3 linked regions of the Tamandua tetradactyla genome follow. The protein of the gene in region 1 binds, or shares a complex with, the protein of each later gene. Links are inferred from orthologs where the notes say so. Each region holds a gene or a part of one and is shown in the gene's direction. Other genes may lie near its edges.

What was found. Proteins that work in one complex are often made in the same cells at the same time.
Region 2: SF3B5 (region 1) and PLRG1 share a complex: the UniProt entries of both Homo sapiens proteins name them as parts of the minor spliceosome. The link is inferred for Tamandua tetradactyla from reciprocal best matches to the Homo sapiens genes SF3B5 and PLRG1.
Region 3: SF3B5 (region 1) and CWC15 share a complex: the UniProt entries of both Homo sapiens proteins name them as parts of the minor spliceosome. The link is inferred for Tamandua tetradactyla from reciprocal best matches to the Homo sapiens genes SF3B5 and CWC15.

Annotation. Positions count from the first base shown.
Region 1 is NC_135351.1:43,423,173-43,429,147, reverse strand, and holds SF3B5 (splicing factor 3B subunit 5), read left to right. Parts: upstream 1-4,794; 5' UTR 4,795-4,931; coding exon 4,932-5,192; 3' UTR 5,193-5,456; downstream 5,457-5,975. UniProt on the Homo sapiens protein: Component of the 17S U2 SnRNP complex of the spliceosome, a large ribonucleoprotein complex that removes introns from transcribed pre-mRNAs.
Region 2 is NC_135348.1:12,422,371-12,430,233, forward strand, and holds the start of PLRG1 (pleiotropic regulator 1), read left to right. Parts: upstream 1-4,850; 5' UTR 4,851-4,973; coding exon 4,974-4,982; exon of another isoform or gene 4,983-5,040; intron 5,041-6,312; coding exon 6,313-6,419; intron 6,420-6,736; exon of another isoform or gene 6,737-6,797; intron 6,798-7,442; coding exon 7,443-7,585; intron 7,586-7,863. UniProt on the Homo sapiens protein: Involved in pre-mRNA splicing as component of the spliceosome. Component of the PRP19-CDC5L complex that forms an integral part of the spliceosome and is required for activating pre-mRNA splicing.
Region 3 is NC_135334.1:47,986,910-47,994,309, forward strand, and holds the start of CWC15 (spliceosome-associated protein CWC15 homolog), read left to right. Parts: upstream 1-4,387; 5' UTR 4,388-4,518; exon of another isoform or gene 4,519-4,531; intron 4,532-5,570; 5' UTR 5,571-5,578; coding exon 5,579-5,709; intron 5,710-6,691; coding exon 6,692-6,804; intron 6,805-7,368; coding exon 7,369-7,400. UniProt on the Homo sapiens protein: Involved in pre-mRNA splicing as component of the spliceosome. Component of the PRP19-CDC5L complex that forms an integral part of the spliceosome and is required for activating pre-mRNA splicing.

The DNA of each region.
Region 1 (5,975 bases):
CTCCTAGGGAAGAGCAGAGGCTCGAGAATAGCCAAGCACAGTAACCTGGAAACACTCACTCTCCCGCGTTGCTCACCGGTGGTCCCTCCCCAGCGCAGAGACCATCCCTAGGGTTGACCTCAGGGATGTGGCTTTAGAGGAGTTCGAAATTCTAACGTGAAGAAACGTGGACTCTTAATTCAATGACACCTTTTCGGCAAGACACTTACCGCTATGGAATTGAGGGGCTAAGGTTCCAGTCAAAAAGATTCCTATGAAGGAATTTTATTCTTGGAGATGCTGGAAAAAGATACCTGGGTCTTGTGAATTACTTAAAATATGCTGGAGAGGAATAAAACTGAAGGATGTTTTTCTTAGAAAACTATCGTTTGTGAGATTTATCTAACCAGAAATTTGAAGATTTATTTAATAAGGTAGTCCTTGCTTTGCATAGTTCCAATATGCGTGAACATCTGGCGCTACAGTTAAGTTAGATGACACCAGGCTGCCAAAAATGCAGTCAAAATTTCAGTTACCACAGTGCTATGAACAGCTGCATTACGCAAAGACTTTGTGCTCTTCTGTCTATAAATCATTACGCAAATAACAAATGTGCATCATGATCGATGACAAATCACATAATTTCTTCAGTCTGCTTTGGTCACTGGGCATCTGTTACCCAATTCACGTACAAGCAACAAAGTGTGCAGACGCACAGCCTTGTTGTCTCCCAGTGATAAGCTTAGTGACATTTTACAAAAATGGATGACAGAAAGAGGGAATTGGTCAAGGTGAAAAGATGATGGGGCAATGAAGAAATGCAAAGTGATGATGCTGGAAGTGAAATTGTATGTGATCAGAATATTTGAAAGTGGTGACAGCAAAGCCAAGATAGGAAGACACCCAGCCCTGCAGGAAGCTACAGTATGAACCAGATTGAAAAAACCCAGTGAATGCAGAAAAACAAGGTAAAGTAACTTTAACATCTTCTGGCATAAACTGCACATAGGAACAGCAAGTCTCTCATGGTGAAATGGAGGGTTTACTTCAACTCTGGATGGAAGACTGTAGTGAAAAACAAATCCCAATCAGTTTGACTAGCATTCAGGCCAAAACGTTGAAGGTAGTTGCTACATTGAAAGAAAATGTTTTTTACAAGGAGACCGAAAAGGACATTTTACTGTCAGAAAAGGCTGGTTTCATCATTTCAGAAGTCAGCCTAAACTGATGAATATTAAGCTATCTGGCGAAGCTGTGGGTTCAGATAAAGATGCTGTGGTGAAATTCAGCCTCAGATCCCAAGTGTTACAGTTAATCCTTGTTTTGCGCAGTGGTGCAGGGTAGTACTGTAGGAAACTTTTACAGGATTCAAATGGAATGGAAATGGAGTTACAGAAGGTACAGCCGACTGTGGGAATGTCGACACTGCTGCTGCTCAAGAGACTTTAGATGTGCAACCAGAGGAACTTCATGAAGGTGACTTGTAGACATAAATGAAGAAAGTGGTTGTGATTAAAAGGATAAAGATGTCTCAGAGGAAGTGATTCTGGCAAGAAACTTCATAGGAAAGGAACTCTTAAAGACATTTCATGACATTGAAAGTGCAAAGGATAAAATTTTGCATGCTCATCTAAACTTAGGAGAATTACAATTTGCCATGTCATAGAAAAGAGGGTAGCTCCACATCGTAAGTTATATGATGAGAAGACAAGCACTGTTAAAACCACTGTTGATAAATTTACAAAGAAATAAAATTTTAATTCTCAAAAAAAAAAAAAAAAAAATACCCAGGGCTCCAAGACTCTATAAAGCTTCACTTACTAAGTTTATTTTTCAGAAATCTGAAACCTCCAGATGGTTCCAAGCCAGATAAGCCCTGAAACCCGGAGTTATTAGTCTTTCCAACAGCATCAACCAGTTGTATCCCCTACCCATAATGTCGACATCCCTTTTCAGCATGGAGAAGTTAGAATGGTCATTGCCCAAATATTCCTAAAGAATGGGAGCCAGATCAAAGAAGAAGGAGGAGTTGCAATAGGGAACCTAGAATTTAACAAATGAGTATTACTACTAAATCATTATACTGATATTTTTTAGTCTCCAGTGTCTTAGAGTAGCTAGACGGAAATACCTGAAATGGTAGAACTGTAACCCATACCAAACTTTGAAATTCGTTCTAAAACTACTTGTTAAAATGTACTGGGGAATTTATTGCTTTTGCATATATGTTATATTTCACAATAAAAAATTATATATATATATATAAAAGACTAACCAAGACATTTATGAAAGAAGAAAACTGTGAGGGCTTGGCCCCTATTTTATTACCTGATACAAAATATCTTTTATTGCCTTATCTTACAAAATAGCAAGACCCTCCACCTGTGCCAATGGACCAGAATGCCCTGGCACAAACCCACACATATATAAAAGAAGCATTAAAGATGATCAGAGAACAGGTGAACTGTTTAGTGAATCATTAGTTATTACAGGGACTGGCTACCCATAGGGGGAAAAATTAAAAATTCGATCCTTAAAATAAGTCAAATCTCCAGGTGGACTCATCTTAAATATGAAAACGCAGAATTTTAAAATTTTTAGAAGAAAATAGAGACTATTTCAATGGTCCCAGTGCAGAAAAGAGTTTTCCTTAATTTGGTTTAAACCAAATACAAAAAGCCCAAACCATAAAGGAAGACTGATAAATCTGACTAAATTTAAGAACTTCTATATAACAAAAATTTCTTTACATTTTCTGTAAAAAAAGACACCATAGTGGGCAGGCCGCGATGGCTCAGCAGGAAGCGTTCTCACTTGCTATGCCAGGGACCCGGGTTCGATTCCTGTTGCGTAACCATGTAAAAAAAAAAAAAAAAGGACACCATAAAGGACCACATACTTTCGTCACCCATAACTTGCAAGCCTGATATTCTGGTTATTTAAAGATCTCCTAATAATTAGTAAGAAAAATACCATCATCCGATAGGAAAGTGGGCAAAGGAAAGGAAATGAACATGCAGTTCACAGAAGCAGAAATCCACGTGGATACAGTAAACATGTATGGAGATGCCCAGTCTTCCTTGTAATCAGGGACATGCTAATGAAAGCCACAACGAATTCCATTCTACGCATCAGATTTGCAAATTTAAAACGTCTCAGGGGCGCACGGGTTGTTCAGTGGTAGAATGCTCGTCTTTCATGCAGGAGACCTGGATTCGATTCACCGACCATGTACCCGCACCCCACCCAAAGTCTCAGGACACCACATGTCCGAAGAATGTGAAGGGACAGGGATTCTCATTCCGCGCACGGTAGACGCACTCTGGAGAGCACCTCGGCAGGATCCAGCAGAGCTTGCCAACACTCACGCCTGCGTCCCAGCAGGGCTAACCTCACGTGCAGGCCCAAGAGGTATGAGTCTCCATGAGAACATTCATCGCAGTTTTGTCTCTAACAACGAAAATCTGGAAATAATGTCCGTTCTTCAGAGTGGGCATACTGCACAACGGTATAAATGAACTAAAGGTATACATTGTATCCAAAGGATACTGAGGCGTGACTAAAGCAACATTTACAGCACATACAACGTGCCACTTACACGAAACCTTAAAACCTGCCTGACGGCACCACCCATTGCTCGTGGACACACTTTCAGCAAACGAGACAGGCTGAGGGATGGTGAACTCTAAGTCCCCGATAGCGTGGTGAGGCGAGCATACTAGGGAGGGGAAACACGGAGAATTGCAAGTTTATTTGTATCTAACAAAGAAAAAACAAAGTCGGGGGGAGGGGGGAATGACAAGGTTTGATAACTCTGCAAACCCACAGGTATTGTAAGGCTTGATTTAACCTATTACTGCCAACTTCCCAGAAAGATCATCACAATAATCTGCTGACGAAGCGAAGCCAAGTCTATCACTGCGGTACGTGAAGGGGGACCCCCACCGTGCAAAGGCTCCGCCGTGCAGAAAGGGGCGACCCGGGGGGACATTTATAGGGCTTGAATCTCTGCCCGCAGGAACGGAATGTTTACCGGCCTAACAGGCAGAACACGAATGCCCTAAAGGTCTCTACAACCCGCCCTCTTCAGCGGCGGTCCGGCTGTCCCTCCGACCCGAAGGTCCGGGGCGCGCGGAGGCCGCAGGCGCGCAGGCCCGACCGGGGAACTTCCCCAAACCCACACCGGGCGGCGAAGCGGCGGGAAGGAGGAGCCGCTCGCGCGAGGAGGCCGGGGCCGCCGCAGCTGTCTGGAGCGGGCAGGGCGGGCTTCCAGATGCTTTCGCGCTGAGCTAAGGGCGGGGGCGCGTGCCAAGGGGACCAGGGCGTTCCGGGCGCGGGAACGGCGCGTCCCGGGCGGGCTGCGCGCTGGGCGGCGGGGGCGGGCCGCGAGCGCGGGGAGGAGGCCCGACGTGGCGGGGAGGGGCCGCGGCGGCTCGGCGAGCAGGCCGGCAGCGCGAGGCCCCTCTCCCGGCCGCCTGTGGCCCCTCGTCTTGCGCCTCCCGTTCCCCGGGCCCACGGCCCCGGCCCACGAGGTGGCTCCCCGCCCGGCAGGCACCGCCCGCCATTAAGGTTCCGAGGCGACCCGGGCCCGGCCTTCCCCAGGCGTCTGCGCGCGCAGGCCCGCGGCGCTCGCGAGTCCCCGGATGCAGGCACCCTCAGGCCGCCACGAAGCCCATCATGCCACGCGACGGGGGGCGGGGCTGTCCCGAGAGGGGCGGGGCGGTGGCTTCGTGGCCTAGGCAACCCCAATTTGGTGCCGGAACACGCTTCCGCTTCCGCCTCGGAGACCTGTGGCCGGCAGGCCACGCGGCGGCGGCGGCGCCGTGACGCCATCGCCTTGCGACTGTGCGCGCCGACGAGCTCCCAGCCGACTTCCACCCGGCGCGAAGCTTCGGAGCGGCCGCTGCTGCTCGTCCGCAGTCCCTGGCCCGGAGCAGAGGGAAGACGGCGACATGACGGACCGCTACACCATCCACAGCCAGCTGGAGCACCTGCAGTCCAAGTACATCGGCACGGGCCACGCCGACACCACCAAGTGGGAGTGGCTGGTGAACCAGCACCGGGACTCGTACTGCTCCTACATGGGCCACTTCGACCTGCTCAACTACTTCGCCATCGCCGAGAACGAGAGCAAGGCGCGAGTCCGCTTCAACTTGATGGAGAAGATGCTGCAGCCGTGCGGGCCGCCGGCCGACAAGCCCGAGGAGAACTGAGCCCCGCCGGGCCGCCGCCTCCGGGGCCGCCGCGCACGCCCCCCTTGCGCACTGGCGCCTTCCGGGGACGTCCCTCACGCCCCGCCGTCCTGGGGACCCTTCGGAGCACCGCTCCGGGGCCGGCGGGACCCCTGAGCACTGGGGCCGTGGGGAGAGCCTAGAGCCGGCCAGCGTGATGCAAGGCGGCTGCGATTTGGAAGTTCGTTTTGTGACTGGTCGATTGTCGTCTTGCTTTTCACCATAAAGTTTAGAAATTGTTCTGTTTCTTGGTGTGGAATCCTTGTGTTCGAGCGGAGCGGTCCTGGGAAGGCTTGGGGGCTGACGTTTCTTTGGGCGTCCCAACAGGAGACGGCCGGCGTCGCGGGGCCAGCCTTCCCTGCCTGACGCTTAAATCCTTCCGGCCCCAGCTTTACCATATTCCCCCATCCCGAATTTTCCCAAGCCTTTTTTTCCTTCTGATCAGGCCCACAATGCCTTAAGGCATTTCCCTCCCCTGTTGAAAGTCTTTGCTGTGGTTGCCCTCTCTGCTCGCTGTCCAGCGCCACCCCTCATTCTCGTGGGACTTTGTGGCTATGCTTTCAGGACTGACAAGCTGCCATACAAGTTCGTTCTTCACTCCACGTTCACCAAATATGTGTTGAGGTCTATGTCGCATTTTCCCCAGGCTCTTGGGGCTTCCGTCATACTGGTGGGATTGAGATATTGGGGTTAGGGGGTGGGGGACCAGATAAACTATAGACATAAGCAAATATTGGAAGATGAGAGGGGGATGGGGAGGTGCAA
Region 2 (7,863 bases), on another chromosome or scaffold:
TCATACTCAGTTGTCAAATATGTTTGAGTCTATAGATTCCATCTGTTCCACTGTTCAAAAAAAATTTTTGATTGCCATAGTTTAAATATATACTTTAAACATCCGGTAAAGATAGATATTCCCCTTTCCCCAACCTTTTCCAAAAGTTTCCAGGCATTTGAGCTGGTAGAGTTTGGCATACCAATGTAATGTTATTTTCATTGGAATTAAAATTATTTATAGATTAATGGCATATCAGATATATTTATAATTTTTTATCTTACTATCCAAAATAAGACATACATTTCTGTTGATTCAAGTCTTTTCTATGTCTCTTAAATATTTTAAAAATATTTTTTAGCCATGTGTGCTGGTTTGAAAGGATATATGTACCTTAGAAAAGCCATGTTATAATCCCAATCCCATTTTGTAAAGGCAGCCATTTCTTCTAATCCCAATTCAGTACTGTTTTGAATCTGTAATTAGATCATCTCCCTGGAGATGTGACTCAATCAAGAGTGGTTGTTAAACTGGATTAGGTGGAGATGGGTCCCCACCCATTTGGGTGGGTCTTGATTAGTTTACTGGAATCCAAAAGAGGAAACATTTTGGAGAATTTGAGAGAGATTCAGAGGGAGCAGAGAACACCACAGTACCAATAAGCAGAGAATCCACCAGCCAGCAAGTTTCGGAGATGAATGAAAATGCCTCCTGGGGAACTGGAGAGAAAGCTAGCAGATGACGCTGTGTTCACCATGTGCCCTTACAGCCGAGAGAATCCATGACTGTGTTTGCCATGTGCCTTCTCACTTGAGAGAGAAACCCTGAACTTCATCGGCCTTCTTGAACCAAGGTATCTTTCCCTGGATGCCTTTGCTTGGACATTTCTATAGATTTGTTTTAATTGGATTTTCTCAACCTTAGAACTGTAAACTAGCAACTTATTAAATTCCCCTTTTTAAAAGCCATTCTGTTTCTGGTATATTGCATTCTGGCAGCTAGCAAACTAGAACACCATGTCTTGCAGATTTTTTTTACTTATTGCTGCATCAAAAATTTTGTGGCTTAAAACAACAGAAATTTATCCTCTCACTGTACTGGAAGCTAGAAATATGAATTCAAAATGTTGGCCGGGCCATATTCTTTCTCTCCCTCGCCCTAGATCCTGGCAGTCTCCAGTCATCGTTGGCATTTCTTGGCTTGTAACTGCTTCATTCCAAACTATGCCTCTGTTTTCACAGAGCATTCTTCTCTATGTCCCTGTGTCTTCACATGGTCTTCTTATAAGGACCCCAATCATTAGATCTAGGGTCTAATTCACCCTAATTCACTATGCCCTCATCTTAACTAATTCCATCTGCAAAGACCCTGTTTCTAAATTAGGTCACATTCTGAGGTTCTGGTAGATATGAATTTGGGGAAACACTAGTCCCAGTGCACTGGGCATCCTTATTTTGTAGTTGGCTAATGAGAATGTTTCTACTGTCCTATAAAACATGGTGCTGGTTTTTGGTAGCATACTTTTAAAAGAAAGTCTAAAAATACCTAAATTATAATAGCAAAATATTAAATCAAAATGCTCTAATCTTCTTAGTTATTGGTGTCAAGAAGCATTTATTTTAACTAAATCCATTGCAAATTATATATTTTTACAAAGAAATTACTATTTAGTAACAGTAGCAGAATTTAGTTTTATATAAACTAAATAAAATTTAGCATTAACTTATTAAATGTAATAGAAAACAATTCATTTTAATAAAATTTACAATAATCAGAAAGACACAACTGTTGGGCATGTAACACACACATACAAATTTAATAGCCTCAAATTAACATCTGAAGGGTGTGCAAGGGTAGTTCAGTGGTAGAATTCTTGCCTGCCATGTGGGAGACCCAGTTTCGAATCCTAATCCATGCACTTCCCCAGTAAACCAAACTAGCAAGCAAAATAAGCAAACAAGCAAACAAATAAACAAAAAATTCAACAAATTATGCTGCAATAAGGATTCCCACATGGAAAAACAATGAAATGTGACCCCACCGTACAGTATACCAAAAAAAAATTCACATCTAAATTAAGTTCTCAATGCCTCCCACCCCAAAATTGGGCGTCTAAAACTTAATAGCTTGCTCATTCCTTTAACAAATGTTGGAAACCTACCAGTGACAAATCAAGTAGATGGTGAGTATGCGATAGTGAACCTCATACCAAACTCATCCTAAATCGACTGGGATAAGGCTAAATTAAACAAATATTACCATCAAACCGGTTAGTATATGAAGTGAGTGAAGAAAACTGTAAATGTCACATTGTTATTTCTTCTATAAACACTGAAAATATTTCTACAAATTAGAAACTACAAATAAAGATAAAACTTTGAGAGTCACAATCATGTCCAGACACTTGTGCTTGTGAAGGGGGATGGGACGTCATAAAATAGAGGAAGGTAGAATTGTGATAAGCAGTACTTTGTCTGTCTGTCTCTGTGTCTCTCTCACACACACCACCCTGCTTAAATGTTTATAACTGACAGTGCATTCTAACTATTCCCCAGGTCTCCCTAGGCATTAATTGAAACAACAGCTCCCTAACTGCTTCACACTCTCCAGAAGCTTTGCTCCACCCTGTGCTGTCAGAATGCACTTGCTAACACTACCTCAGCTTTGGACGCATTCTTAGCATTGTGATAAACAATTAAAGACCACACTCCTGGAGGAAACATCCTTGTATTAATTTTCACAGGTTCTGACCTTAGGAGTTCAAATAGGAAATGACGGTGCCCCCCATTCTTCTCGTTCGAATTAATAAATGATGTCAAATCTGTAGTTCAAAGGCAGAAGGATACATTAACCAAAACAACTCAAAAGAATATTGTATATAAAATGAGTAGTATCTAGAAAACGTTATACATTTAGCTTTCTAAGCTGAGAAAAACAGGAAGAAGAAATAGTAATATTCATCATTTTTATGTTTAACATTAAGAAACGTCCCATAAAAAAATCTGATTAAAAGCTGAAGAATTGATTCCCAGTGCAAACCAAACAGACAAACAAAAAGCGGAAGAATATGGTACTCATATCTACATGGAAGTGACCTTCTAGCCCTGCTTAAGAGCAAAAGACAAGCACTTGAAGGAGAATGAAGAGACCTTCAGTCCTGGTAAGTAAACAACCAATTAGTAGAAAAGAAAACACATGCACAAAACATATAAAAAAAAATTAGCTAGGCTTTCCTTAAAATTTGCACTATCAGTCTCACTCAGACTTAATATTTGTATTTACATTAATATTCACTAATCTCTGCCCTAAGGAACGTCTCTGAGCCTTTTTGAAGCGCAGTAGTGCCACCTACTGCTCAAATAAGGCAGCTCTGGTTTTCAGCAGGGGCAGGGATCTTTCACCTTTTGTGGATCCTGAATCCCTTCATGAATTCTATGACATCTACAGATCCCCTCACCAGAAAAACTCAGGCTCTTACATAAACACAGAATTTGCATACAATTTCAGGTAATTCATGAATTAACTCTGTTAAATGAGTATATTCTAGTGCAATTTACCTCAATCACTGCAATGTTTATATGAGTTTGGGGTTATAAATTAAACATTTCCAGGATGATTAAAGATCTAACAAGTTAATGGTCCCAACCAGACGTTGTCATATATATTACCCTTGCTTACATTTCTATGGTTGTATTGCCATTTAAAATCATGTTATTTTGTATAGTTATTACTATGTATAATAAGATTTCACTTCCCAAGTATATAGTTTATAATTATGGCATTTCCTTGCAAGACCCATCATCAATTGCTATTTTTACAAAAAATACGTTTTAATCTAAACTTACACTTAAGTAAGGTTTTTCAAGTAAAAACCTAATCTTAATGCTCTCACTGAATTAAAAATTAATGAATTTTGAAATAAAGTTAGTCATATTGCTAGGCTGTTGATAGATTCTTTTTCTTCTCAAAGCATATGCAGTATGCTCTGATGACAGGACCAGGATAACTGATTACGTTAAGAAAGAAGCAGACTCAGTGAAGTGTTTGTCTGAGTTTGCAAATGCTCAGCTCTGTCAATTTTTCTTTTTAGATACCAAAATAATTGGGCAGGATTAATTGTAAAGCGCAGGTTTTACCTGGATAAAAAACAAAATAACAGTATCGTGGCGCCAGGATTTCCATGGATAAAAATGGCTAAAGTCTCCAGCTCTTTCTTCCACCAGCTCTGGGAAGCTGTGCTTGGTTTCTCGAAGTTGCATTAATTACCAGGCAAGTAGAAAAACGCCGTTATATAATTTTGGAGAGATTTTTTAAAAATCATGTAGCAGTAAAGAAATGTGGGGTTTTACCACAGCTGTTAATAAAATTCCTTTCCATACCATCCAGGCCAAAATTTATCAGACAGAAACAAGCATTCAGCAGCACTCCCTCAATAAAAGTTTTAATGGACTTAATGTAATTGTTTAAGGGACGAGAGCTACAGCGACGACTTCTGCTTTCAGCCAGGTGGTGGCTCTCGGCGACAGAAAGCGCAGAGGCGACCCCCAAGGACGGTGTCTTCGCCCGGAGGGCTCGCTCTCCAGACCCTCCCTAAAGTGACTTCTCCCATTTTGTGAATAAAACGTCATCCGTTGCTAGGAAATACAGAGCAAACAACCACGGCCCCAAAGCAAAACATTTAAGACTGAGCGTAAATTAGAAAATATCCTCATTTCAAGATTTCTTCAAAGGGGGAGAGAACCTGCGGTCAGACGCTGGAGAAGCTCCCGCCCATCAGCCCCGAGACTCCGCCCCTAGAGGCGGCCCCAAGGAGGAAGGTCCGCCCCTTGTGCCCCCGAAGGCCCGCGGGAGAACTTATTGCGGGCGCGTGGGCCACGTCACTTCCGGCGTCAAGGCGCCCGACTACGGAAGCCGCTGTTCAGTGGTGGCGGTGGTTTCGGCGTTCGGGTTTGGTGCTCCTTTGCTGCCCGAGGGTTGGGAGCCGCGGCTGCAGCATGGTCGAGGTAAAGTGACACCAAAATAGACGGGAGCAGTTTGATTCTGGATTGCTTTTCTTTGACGGTAGGCTCGGGGGTTCAAGGATGCTGGGAGTCTTGTGGCAAGTGGAAGCTGTTTGGCCGAGGCCCGGTGGTCTCTTAAGGTTCTCGGAGAGGGAGTGAGGCCGGGAAAGAACACGAGTTTGAAGTTCCGGCGGGCGGGAAGCCTGAAAAAATCTCTCCAAGTCCGCTTGGCCCTGGTGAGATGGGACTTGTCCTCGGGGGCAGGGCTTCTGTTGATGTTTGACCGCTGGGGCTTGCCGCCTCAGGTGTAGTATCAGTGATTCTGGGCGGTGGAAGACCGACGATCTTCTTTCTTGCGTTCAATTCGTCTTTTATCCCAGCTCTTCCCCCACGGAAGCCTGCTGTTCTTGAATTCTTGCGTCTTTCCCTACGTTGAGTAGTCATTCTATTAGCAGGTCTTATTCGTCTTACTTCAGAAACATTTGTTGACTCTGCCCATCGTTCTCCATTTCCCCTGCCATCACAGACTAATAGCGTCTTTTGCTTGGACTAGTGCATTAGCTCTCAGCTTGACTGCTTGCTTCCATTTTTATTACCCTGTACATTGATCTGTTTAAACTATAAATTGGAGAACTTGACTGGCCTTATGTTCCAAGTAGAACAAAAATCTAGACTTCCGCAGTGTTCTAAAGGACCGTACCCGATCTGAACCTTTCCTTGCCTACCCTTGCAACCTCATCTTGCACCGCAACCCACCCTCCTATCCTGCATACACAGCTCTACTGCAGTTTCTGGCATTTTTTCAGTTACTGAATATTTTGTATGTAGAGTTACTCTTTGCCTGGACTACTCTTACCTGAACTCTTTGCAAGGCAAACTCCCTTCTCTCTCTGCTTGAATATCTCCTCAAAGCGTTCTTTTCTAACCATCCTACATTAAGTATTTTTTATTTCCTCCCTTCTCTTGCTAAGCCCTTTGCTTGTTTCCTTCATGGTGCTTAACAAAATGGGGAGTTATTTTGTTTATTTTTGTTTCTCCTTGGACCACCTTGACTATGACTGCCTGCTCATCGTTCTGTGGTTAGATTCTAGTACAATACCTGCCATACACATACCTGTATGCCAGATTAATCTCAGATATCATTCAGTTGGTATATGCTGGGGCTCTGGCCAAAGAGGATGTTCCTCTTCTTTGAACTTGCCTCCTGTAGCTTACTAGAGATAACTGTGGTGAGTGGTACAAAGCTTAAGTGCATTACTAATATGATTTTTAATTGGGTTATGATATGTGTAATTTGCGGCTGGATGTATAATTACCCCTTCTTTCTTTCTAGGAGGTGCAGAAACATTCTGTGCACACACTTGTATTTAGGTCATTGAAGAGGACCCATGATATGTTTGTAGCAGATAATGGAAAACCTGTGCCTTTGGATGAAGAAAGGTAGGTATAGTTCTTCGCCAATTGTTAAGAATATTTAAACTTCAAATAGTGAGGGGAAAAAGAGAAGAAAGGGGAACTATTTAATCTTTGAAGGTTGGTTAGTAATTCTCACACTTATGGGAAAACTATTCAGTAATGAGTGTTGTTTTTGGTATAAGTTAAGCTAATTTAAATTTTTTTTGGCCTTATCCTTTATAGTAAAACTCCCATTAATTAATTGCATTTTATGAATATCCAGTAATTATGAAAGTCCCTTTCAGGTGTTTTATTTTATAATCAGTCATTTTATATGTGCTTTCAGCTTCCTGCTGCTCTCAGAGCCTTGCTGAGCTTAAATTGTATTGTACCTGGCCAGTACCTCTGTTCACATCCTTTCTTGTTAGTGTGATGAAGATTTTTGAGTGAGGTCATATTTTTGATTTTACATCTCTGATTCCAGTCTGAGATTACATATTGCAGTGTTCCTTCTTTGTCCTTTACTTTCTTTTATAAAATCTACCTAATTCCTCAAACAAGCTTTTATATTTAATCTATGCTTAAAAAGAATGGAAGTGCTTTTTTTTTAAATTAAGCTAATTAAATACTTTAGTTCTATCTTTTAAATATAAATTCAGTAAAGTTTGCTACAGACGCTTTTACTGTATTTTAATATTCAGACATTTGAAGGAACATACATTGACTTGAATGTTTTTAAAGGACATTTATCTCTATATCTTTAAATCGGTTGGACTCTTGGCAACTCATCATGAAAGATTTTCTATTTTGTATTTAATAGTTAACAAGCTTAAATATTGCTTAGACTTAATGGATGCTATGTGTTGAATTATAAGCAAAAGTAAATATACAGTGTGGAAACGCACTTGGACATTTTGAAGTGAGTTTTAAATCTTAATGGAATTTTTTTTATGTAGTTGGACAAAAAAGTTATTTAAGTACTTGTCTCCAAGCTAGTCATAAAATTTGCATTTGTGAATATATTTAAACTATTTAAAATACACTCTTATGTTTATACTTTTTAAATAGTCACAAACGAAAAATGGCAATCAAACTTCGTAATGAATATGGTCCTGTGTTGCATATGCCTACTTCAAAAGAAAATTTTAAAGATAAGGGCCCACAAACTACAGCAGATTCATATGGTCATAAACAGTATCCTGCTAATCAAGGTGAGTATGGCATTATCAGAAATGGCAGGACTTACATTTGAATTTTAAAAATAGAAAAGCAAATAAAATTCCTTATTAGTGCCTCTCCTAGAAGGATTGATTAAAACCATGTAGTATTTAACTGCTATATCAGTAGTAATATTGGACGTCTCGATTTCCTCATGGGACTAGTGAATGAAATTATTGGTTGATGGCTTCTCTCTTATAGGAAGTATAGATGGTAGAATAATAATGGGAGAAGTTCATAAGATGTAGCAAAGGTCACAGTGGACACAAGG
Region 3 (7,400 bases), on another chromosome or scaffold:
TTTAAGAAAGATCCTCTTTCACTGGCATAAAAAAATACATACTATACCTAAGGCTAAAGCTACCAAAAATGCGCAAGACTTTTAGGAAGATATACATTTTTAAAAGGCAACTAAAGAAAACCTAATTAAATGGAAAGATATAACCTGTTAATGCATGTGAAGACTCAATATAATATAGATGTTAATTCTCCTTAAATTGATTTATAGATTCAATCAAAATTCCAAAATTATTTTTGTGGAACTTGACAATCTGACTCTAAATTTCATATTGAAGTACAAAGGGTCAAGTAAGAAAGTGGGCCAAGACTTGCTCTACCAGATTCCAAGATTCCTCCATCATACCATACACAAAAATGAATTCCTGGTGGAATTGTGAAATACATAACCATAAAAGCTTTAGAAGATGATATCTGAAAAGATCATTATTATCTCTAAGTAGGAAAGAATTTCTTAATCAAGAAATGCCATACACTAAGCAAAAAGGAAATGACTGGCTAAACTGAACTATCTTAAAAGAAAAGATTTTTGTATATCAAAATATACTAAAAAGAGACCAGGAAGCTGGAGAATATATATGCAGTACAAATATCTGATAGAGAACTGGTATCCAGAGTATTAAGAACGTGCAGAAGTTGATAAGAAAAAGATAGCCAATCCAACAAAAAATACTTGAACAGATAACAAAAGATGAAATCCAAATGGTCAACAAACCTATGAAACAGTTATTAATAATGAAGGAAATACAAAGTAAGACCTTAGTGATATATCACTATATACCTACCAGATGAGCTAAAATTTAAAATTGGACAACACCAAGTGTGTTGAGATTGTGGAACAAGAACTCTTATCCTGCTGATAGGAATGTTAGGATATATAAATCTTAGAGAAAAGCACACACTTGCACCTCAGCACATTTATAAGAATGTTCATAGCAGCATTATTTGTAAGTCTCATACAGCAAACATAATTCTCAGAATGATTAAATTATAGGGTGTATTTTTACACAATAAAATTCTATATCGTATACTAAAATTATACATAATACACATTAAGTGGAAGGAAAATGCAAAATGAAATAATACATATGTAATATTGGTGAGACTAAACAATATTGTTTAGAAATATACATATAGTATTTATCAAAATTTATTTTGGGGCTTAATATTTAATCACTTTTTGTAAAGGTTCAATGTTTACTGAAAAGCATATGTATTCTTCTATTTGCTACAGGATTTATGTGCATTCATTATATAAATATAATATGCATACATAGATCAGTGTTAATTTGTCTGCTTGATCTATCGATATGAGAAATTTAAGTTTTAAAAATTCCTATCATGACTGCGGATTTATCCATCTTTCCTTTTAATTCTTTATTTTTACTTCATGCTTTTCCAGGCTATATATGGTTAGTTGTACAAATGCACATGATTATCATATTTTCCTAGTGGATTTTTCTTTGTAATGCAATTTATGTCCCTCTTTGCCCATATTAATGCTACTTAATTTTAATACTTTGAAGAATATGGCTATAAAATATTTTGTTAGAATTTGCCTGATGTGTCTTTTTTATCCCTTTATTTTCTATGCACTACTTGTTTAGTTTTGTGTATTTTTAGTGTTTTGCTTTTAAATTGCCTTAGTAATAATAAACTGGACAGCTAGGCAGGTAGCCATGCGATTAGATTAGGTATCTAGTAACCTAGCCTGGACCATCAACAAGTGGCATTTAATTTTTTCTTTGTTTTTGTTTTCTTGTTGTTGCATTTAATTTGGAGGCTATTTCCAGGAAATCATTTTTCTGAGCTCTCGAGGGTCTCATGTAAAATCAGGATTTGGTTGGTAGAGGCTTTATTTTTTCTACTCTCACTTGTTAAAATGGATTAAAAGATTAACTTTACAAATGGGAAAACAGGTATTTTGGGGGTTAAAAATTTAAAGTCACTGCCATTATTTATATCATTTGGAAACAGGCATTATGAAATAAACATCTCTCAAAGTTAAAGAACTTTTTTTTAAGGCTTTCGAAAAAATTAAATGCTTGTGGCTGTTGGTTTTTTCTGTTCATTTTCCTATTAAAAGGCTCAAAGAAACATTTTTCAAGTAAAAACACACTTTATGGGCTGGTAGCTTTGTAAATGAGGGGGGTTACTAGAATTGGGAAAGATGATTCGATTGGAAGAGATGGAGAGATGGTGCATTGAGTCTGTGATTAGATCAGGGGATTAATTCAATTAGAATTCTGATAGTATATATAAAGCCTGATCATAACCACAGATTTTTTTTATATATAAACAGCCTCTCCTAAAAGCAAATCATCTTTCTGAGTCTCGGTGTATCTTCATTCAAAATCAGGATTTCAGACTAGCAGAAAGTAAGTTACTTTTCTCCCCCTTCAAAATATAAAACAGACAAAAGCAATAGCTTTTTACATTAGAGTGTGTTTTTTTCTTGTTAAAACTCATTTTTTCATTCATTCATTCATTTGGAAGATGTTTATTTCGTTGTGTTTTTTGCCTGTTGGTGCCAGGTGTTGTTTTTGGTGCTTGGCTCACATCACTGAACAAAACAAAGATCCTTGCGCTTGTAGAATCTATATTCTGCATGGAAAACATAGATGAAGGATAGTAAAGGTAACATATAATTAGCCTATACAGGATAATGGAAGATGATACATGTTATGTAAAAAGAAAAAAGTAGAGCAAAAGAGGTTAAGGGAGATATGGAGTGTAGGGTATTAAGAAAGAAAGGGGGAGGAAAGTTGCAGTTTTAAATAGGGCTGTCAAGTAGTCCTCATCTGAGCAAAGACTTAAATAAGGAGGGCAAGATTGTCTGTTCTGGGTGGAAGAAACAGATAGTGCAGGGGTCCTAAGGCAGGAGTGCTGGGTGTGCTCAAGCAATACCAGGTAGCGATGTAGCCAAGAGGGGCATGTGCAAGAGATGAGGTTTAAAAAAAAAAAAAGGAGGGAAGGGACTGGAACAGGAGAGCTTTGTAGGCCATCAGGTGGACTTCGGCTATGTTGTGTGGGAAACCGGGAGTCAATGAATCCCACCTGTCTGACTGGATGCCTTTTTATTCTCATCCCATCCAGATGTATTAACTTATTTTTTTTTAACTGTTGCCAAACTGATGCTGTGAAGTGAAAATTCATTGTTAGTTCAGTGTAAAATCATGGTGGCTTGGACTAGGGCGGTGGCCATGGATTGAAAAGTGATGGCCAAATTTAGGGCATATTTTGAAAGAATTAGCACGATTTACAGATGAACTGGATGTGAAGGATGAAGAAAAGGGAACTCAAGAATGAGCCCTGGCATTTTGGTTTGATGGTAGTGTCATTTAATGAAATGTTTAAGAGTGGAGGAGGAAAACTTTCTATAAAGAAAATCAAGATTTTCATCTTGGACTTAAGCGGAAGGGACTTTTCCACTGTTGTTTTCCCGTTTCAAAGTTACAAAGAAAGAGTTTAGGGAAACCGCTTTTAAATGTTTAGTTTTGTGAAATTTTTTACATCTGAAAATGAGTTGGGGAGATTAGTTTCACTTACTCAACAAATATTTATTGAGTGCCTACTATGTGCAAGGACTATGTGATGACCTATCAAGATGAACTCAGCAAACAAGATCTCTACTGAGTGCTTTTTTTTTTTTTTTGCGACGGGAGAGGGGAGATATCTGATTTTTTTTCCTGTTGATTGTCTTATTAAAACTTCATCTAACGCTTGAGTAGCCATCTTATTTATAATTGCATCTTGTGCTCTGGCAGTTGGGCCCACCGTTCTAAACGCTCAATGTCCGGTGAATAAACGAATGAATCGTTAATACTGACATCTTCCCTCCCACTAGAACTCACACTTAAAAATAATAATTTTAACAAACAATACTAATACAACCTTTGCTTTGAAGTCTAATATTTTTGCAGGAATGGTACCTTTATAAAGATCGTGGTTGCCCCCGTACATATTTGTTCTTTCTTCATATCCAATTAAATGAAAACACTAGCTTTTCCGTAGCCCAACTCTCTAGGCTTGTTGGGTCTAGTTCAGGAGAAAGGAAGCAGGAGCCGGTGGATTTAAACAATTTGGTGTAATCCTTTTCCACGCTCTCTCCCGCTAGTCGGGGACGTGGTGTCGGCTACCCGGGGCTTTCCGTCCACGCAGTACCGGAATGAAGGAGTCTGGGAGGGGGTCGGGGAAGGAAAAGACGGAAGAGACATTAAGTAATTGGTTCTTGAAGGTATAAAATGATATTTAGGGTCTACTCTAAAGCTCTGATTTCAAACGCCCGCCCCCTGAGCCGTTTCGGCCCCGCCCCTTGCTGTCGTCACTCCGACTTCCACCTTGGCCTCTGCGGATTGGTCTTTGTCTCAGCCTCCAAGGGGCGGCTAAAGCGCTTGGGTTTTGCTTCCGGGTCTTGGGCTTCGGCCTTGGGCGCAGAGGTTTTTGGGAACTAGGAGTCGTGATGGTGTCTGAGTGAGCTCCGGGTGTTCCTGCTTCAGATCTCCGCCAAAGTGAGCGGCAGGTGGGTAGCAGATTCTCTTTCTCATCTGGGAGGTGGGGCGAGAAAAGAAGGTTAGTCGGGCGCTGGAGAAGCGTCAGCGAGTTCCTGGAAATAGCCGAGAGCGGGCTCCCGGGGGGACGGAGTGATAAAGAATCCGGGGGAGTTGTGGGAGGCAGCGGCGCCCCCGGCGGCAGAAAACCCTGTTTTTCCCTCTGGAGACACGCCTTTCCCTTTGGAAAAATATAGAGAAGTATACCAGAAATAAAAGATCCGTCCAGTTCTCCCATCCTTCCACATTGTGGCTTTTCCGAGGGCTAAGGGCGTTTAGTGTCACGTCTGCTAGGCAATATTTTAACCAACTACTTAAAGCTGAGAGTAACATAAGGAACAGGCCTCCGATTTTTGGTTATCGGAATCCTGTGAGGTGAGGCTCTTGTGTTTGAGAATTTGTTTAATTCTAACCTACAAAAAAATCTGATTTATAGGGTGATGGCTGTTGTAATAGAATAACTGAATCAATAAGATTGCTGGAGAATTTTTCCTATGTACCTGTCATTTGAAGTTTAACGAGCTTTTCTCCAGCTTAACTTTTCTCTAGGATACTTAATGACTTTGTCAGTGATATTTTAAAGTATCATTTTGTTTCTGTGGCTACTAGCCTATTTGCTGTTGTGCAAGTTTTAGATAAAATGGAAACCTTAGGGAGTCTAGTTGAGTTGAGGTTTTTTAAGTCATTCATGGCAGTACTGTAATTTGCAAGAGTTTTGACATGGTGAATCTCATAATTGCAATAACTCTACAGATGGCAGAAACAAACTAGGTGACTTGGCCCAGGCCACACAGGGGGAAGAACTGGAATATAAACACAGGTCTTCACTACAAAATTTTGTGTTTAGTAACAGCTTCCTAAGAAGCTGCATTCCTTGTATACCTTTAACGTCATAATTTGTTATCCTGAGAACTTTGAGAAAACTATGTTTTGAAAATTATTTCACAAGGTTGACTATTGATTAAAACTTTATTAAATCAGTTTATCATATTGGAAATAACTTTGATACTATTTTTCTTCAAAGCATAAAAGATGACAACAGCAGCCAGGCCAACTTTTGAACCTGCAAGAGGTGGAAGAGGAAAAGGAGAAGGTGATTTGAGTCAGCTCTCAAAGCAGTATTCCAGCAGAGATTTACCCTCTCATACAAAGATAAAATACAGGTAATAAAGATACTCATTTTTTCTTGTTTACAGAATAAGACCAAGTGCATTTAATTGCATGGTCCTGAGACAGTAGCATGTTTGGGTTGTGTCATTTGAATTGTCTACTTTCATAGAAATAGAATATAATAGAGTATGTTTAACACTGAAATTATACTTTCTGATTGCAAACTTTCACAAACTTTCCATTAAACAGAAATTCCTATTAACTGGGAATTTCCATATGTAAGTGAAACAAAAACTGATACCTGATTACCTCAAAGAGACCATGCATCATCATGATTACCTCAGAGAGACCATACATCATCAATGCTGATCAATATGAGATTTAAAGTGTTACTATAAATAACTCTGAATTGATCTAATACTAAGAAAAAAATTCATCACAATGCAGCCTTACACAAATGAAATCAAAAGGAAAGATAGACGATAAAGATGGTATAACCTAGGAATGCCTAGAGTGTATAATGATAGTGACTAAATGTAGAAATTTTAAAATGTTTTTGCATGAGATAAAACGAGTCAATACTGCAGGGTGTTGAAAATAGACGGCAATTCATATTTTAAAACTTCAACTTCTGTGTGAAACTAAAGCAAAAAAATGTTTAATTGGCACAAAATTTATATTTTGACTTGTGCATTTCCTAATATAATTTATGTAGACAGTTTAATTGAACGCTGTAAGTACATGGAGCCTTGAGTAGGACATGAGATTTTGTAGGTTTGTCCAGAGTGATGCCCCTATTAAAAAAAAAAATTGCAGCCTTATTATGGGAAAGTATGTGATTTAGTTTGGGCTTCTTGAAATATAACCATCACACGAGTGCCTGTTAGTAAACTTCCGTTAGGTTAATGATCTTTTCTAGTTCCCTCTTATTCTTGAGAGACTGGAGACAAATGGGTTTTTTTGTGAATTGTTTCCATTTGCTACAGCCATATGTTTGTTTACAAATATTTTTGCCCTGCTTTGTTTCTACTTTAGACAAACTACACAGGATGCCCCTGAAGAGGTTCGTAACCGTGACTTCAGGAGAGAGTTGGAAGAGAGAGAGAGAGCTGCTGCAAGAGAGAAAAATAGGGATCGCCCAACCCGAGGTACCAGCACTATCCCAGATGTTTGTCTCATAAAATTATATGTTAGAGATAGTTTTTCCTTTCATCAGATAACTGGAAGGTACATACATATATATATATATATATATATTAGATATATATTGGTGTAAGCTGTAACACTTTTTTAAATGATTAGACATGATATCTGAGAGTCATTCCAATTCCATCTTTTTATGCTTCTGTATGAGAATGAACATGATTGATCCAGAGATACTCAGTAATCATCATGTCTGTTCAGATCAAGGGGTGTAAGACTGTTTACACCAGCCGTGTGTTGTGAGGTTCCGTTGGTTCTGACTAAGGCTTTCCCATTTGTCACTGACAATTGGCGGTCCTCTAGAGGCATCAGATATAATATCTTTTCCAGTGTATGTAGACTGTTCCTAAATTTCCTGAGAGGGACCACCAGTTACTGCTGCGTAATCAGTAAGATCCCAGTTGTCATGATGATTAAAATCTAAGTTGTATGTGCCCACAATTCTCTAAAATGTTATAGGAAGTATAGTCTTTGTTTCAGTAAGCTCAATGATGATTGTTTTTCCGCAGAACATACAACCTCCTCCTCAGTGTCAAAGAAG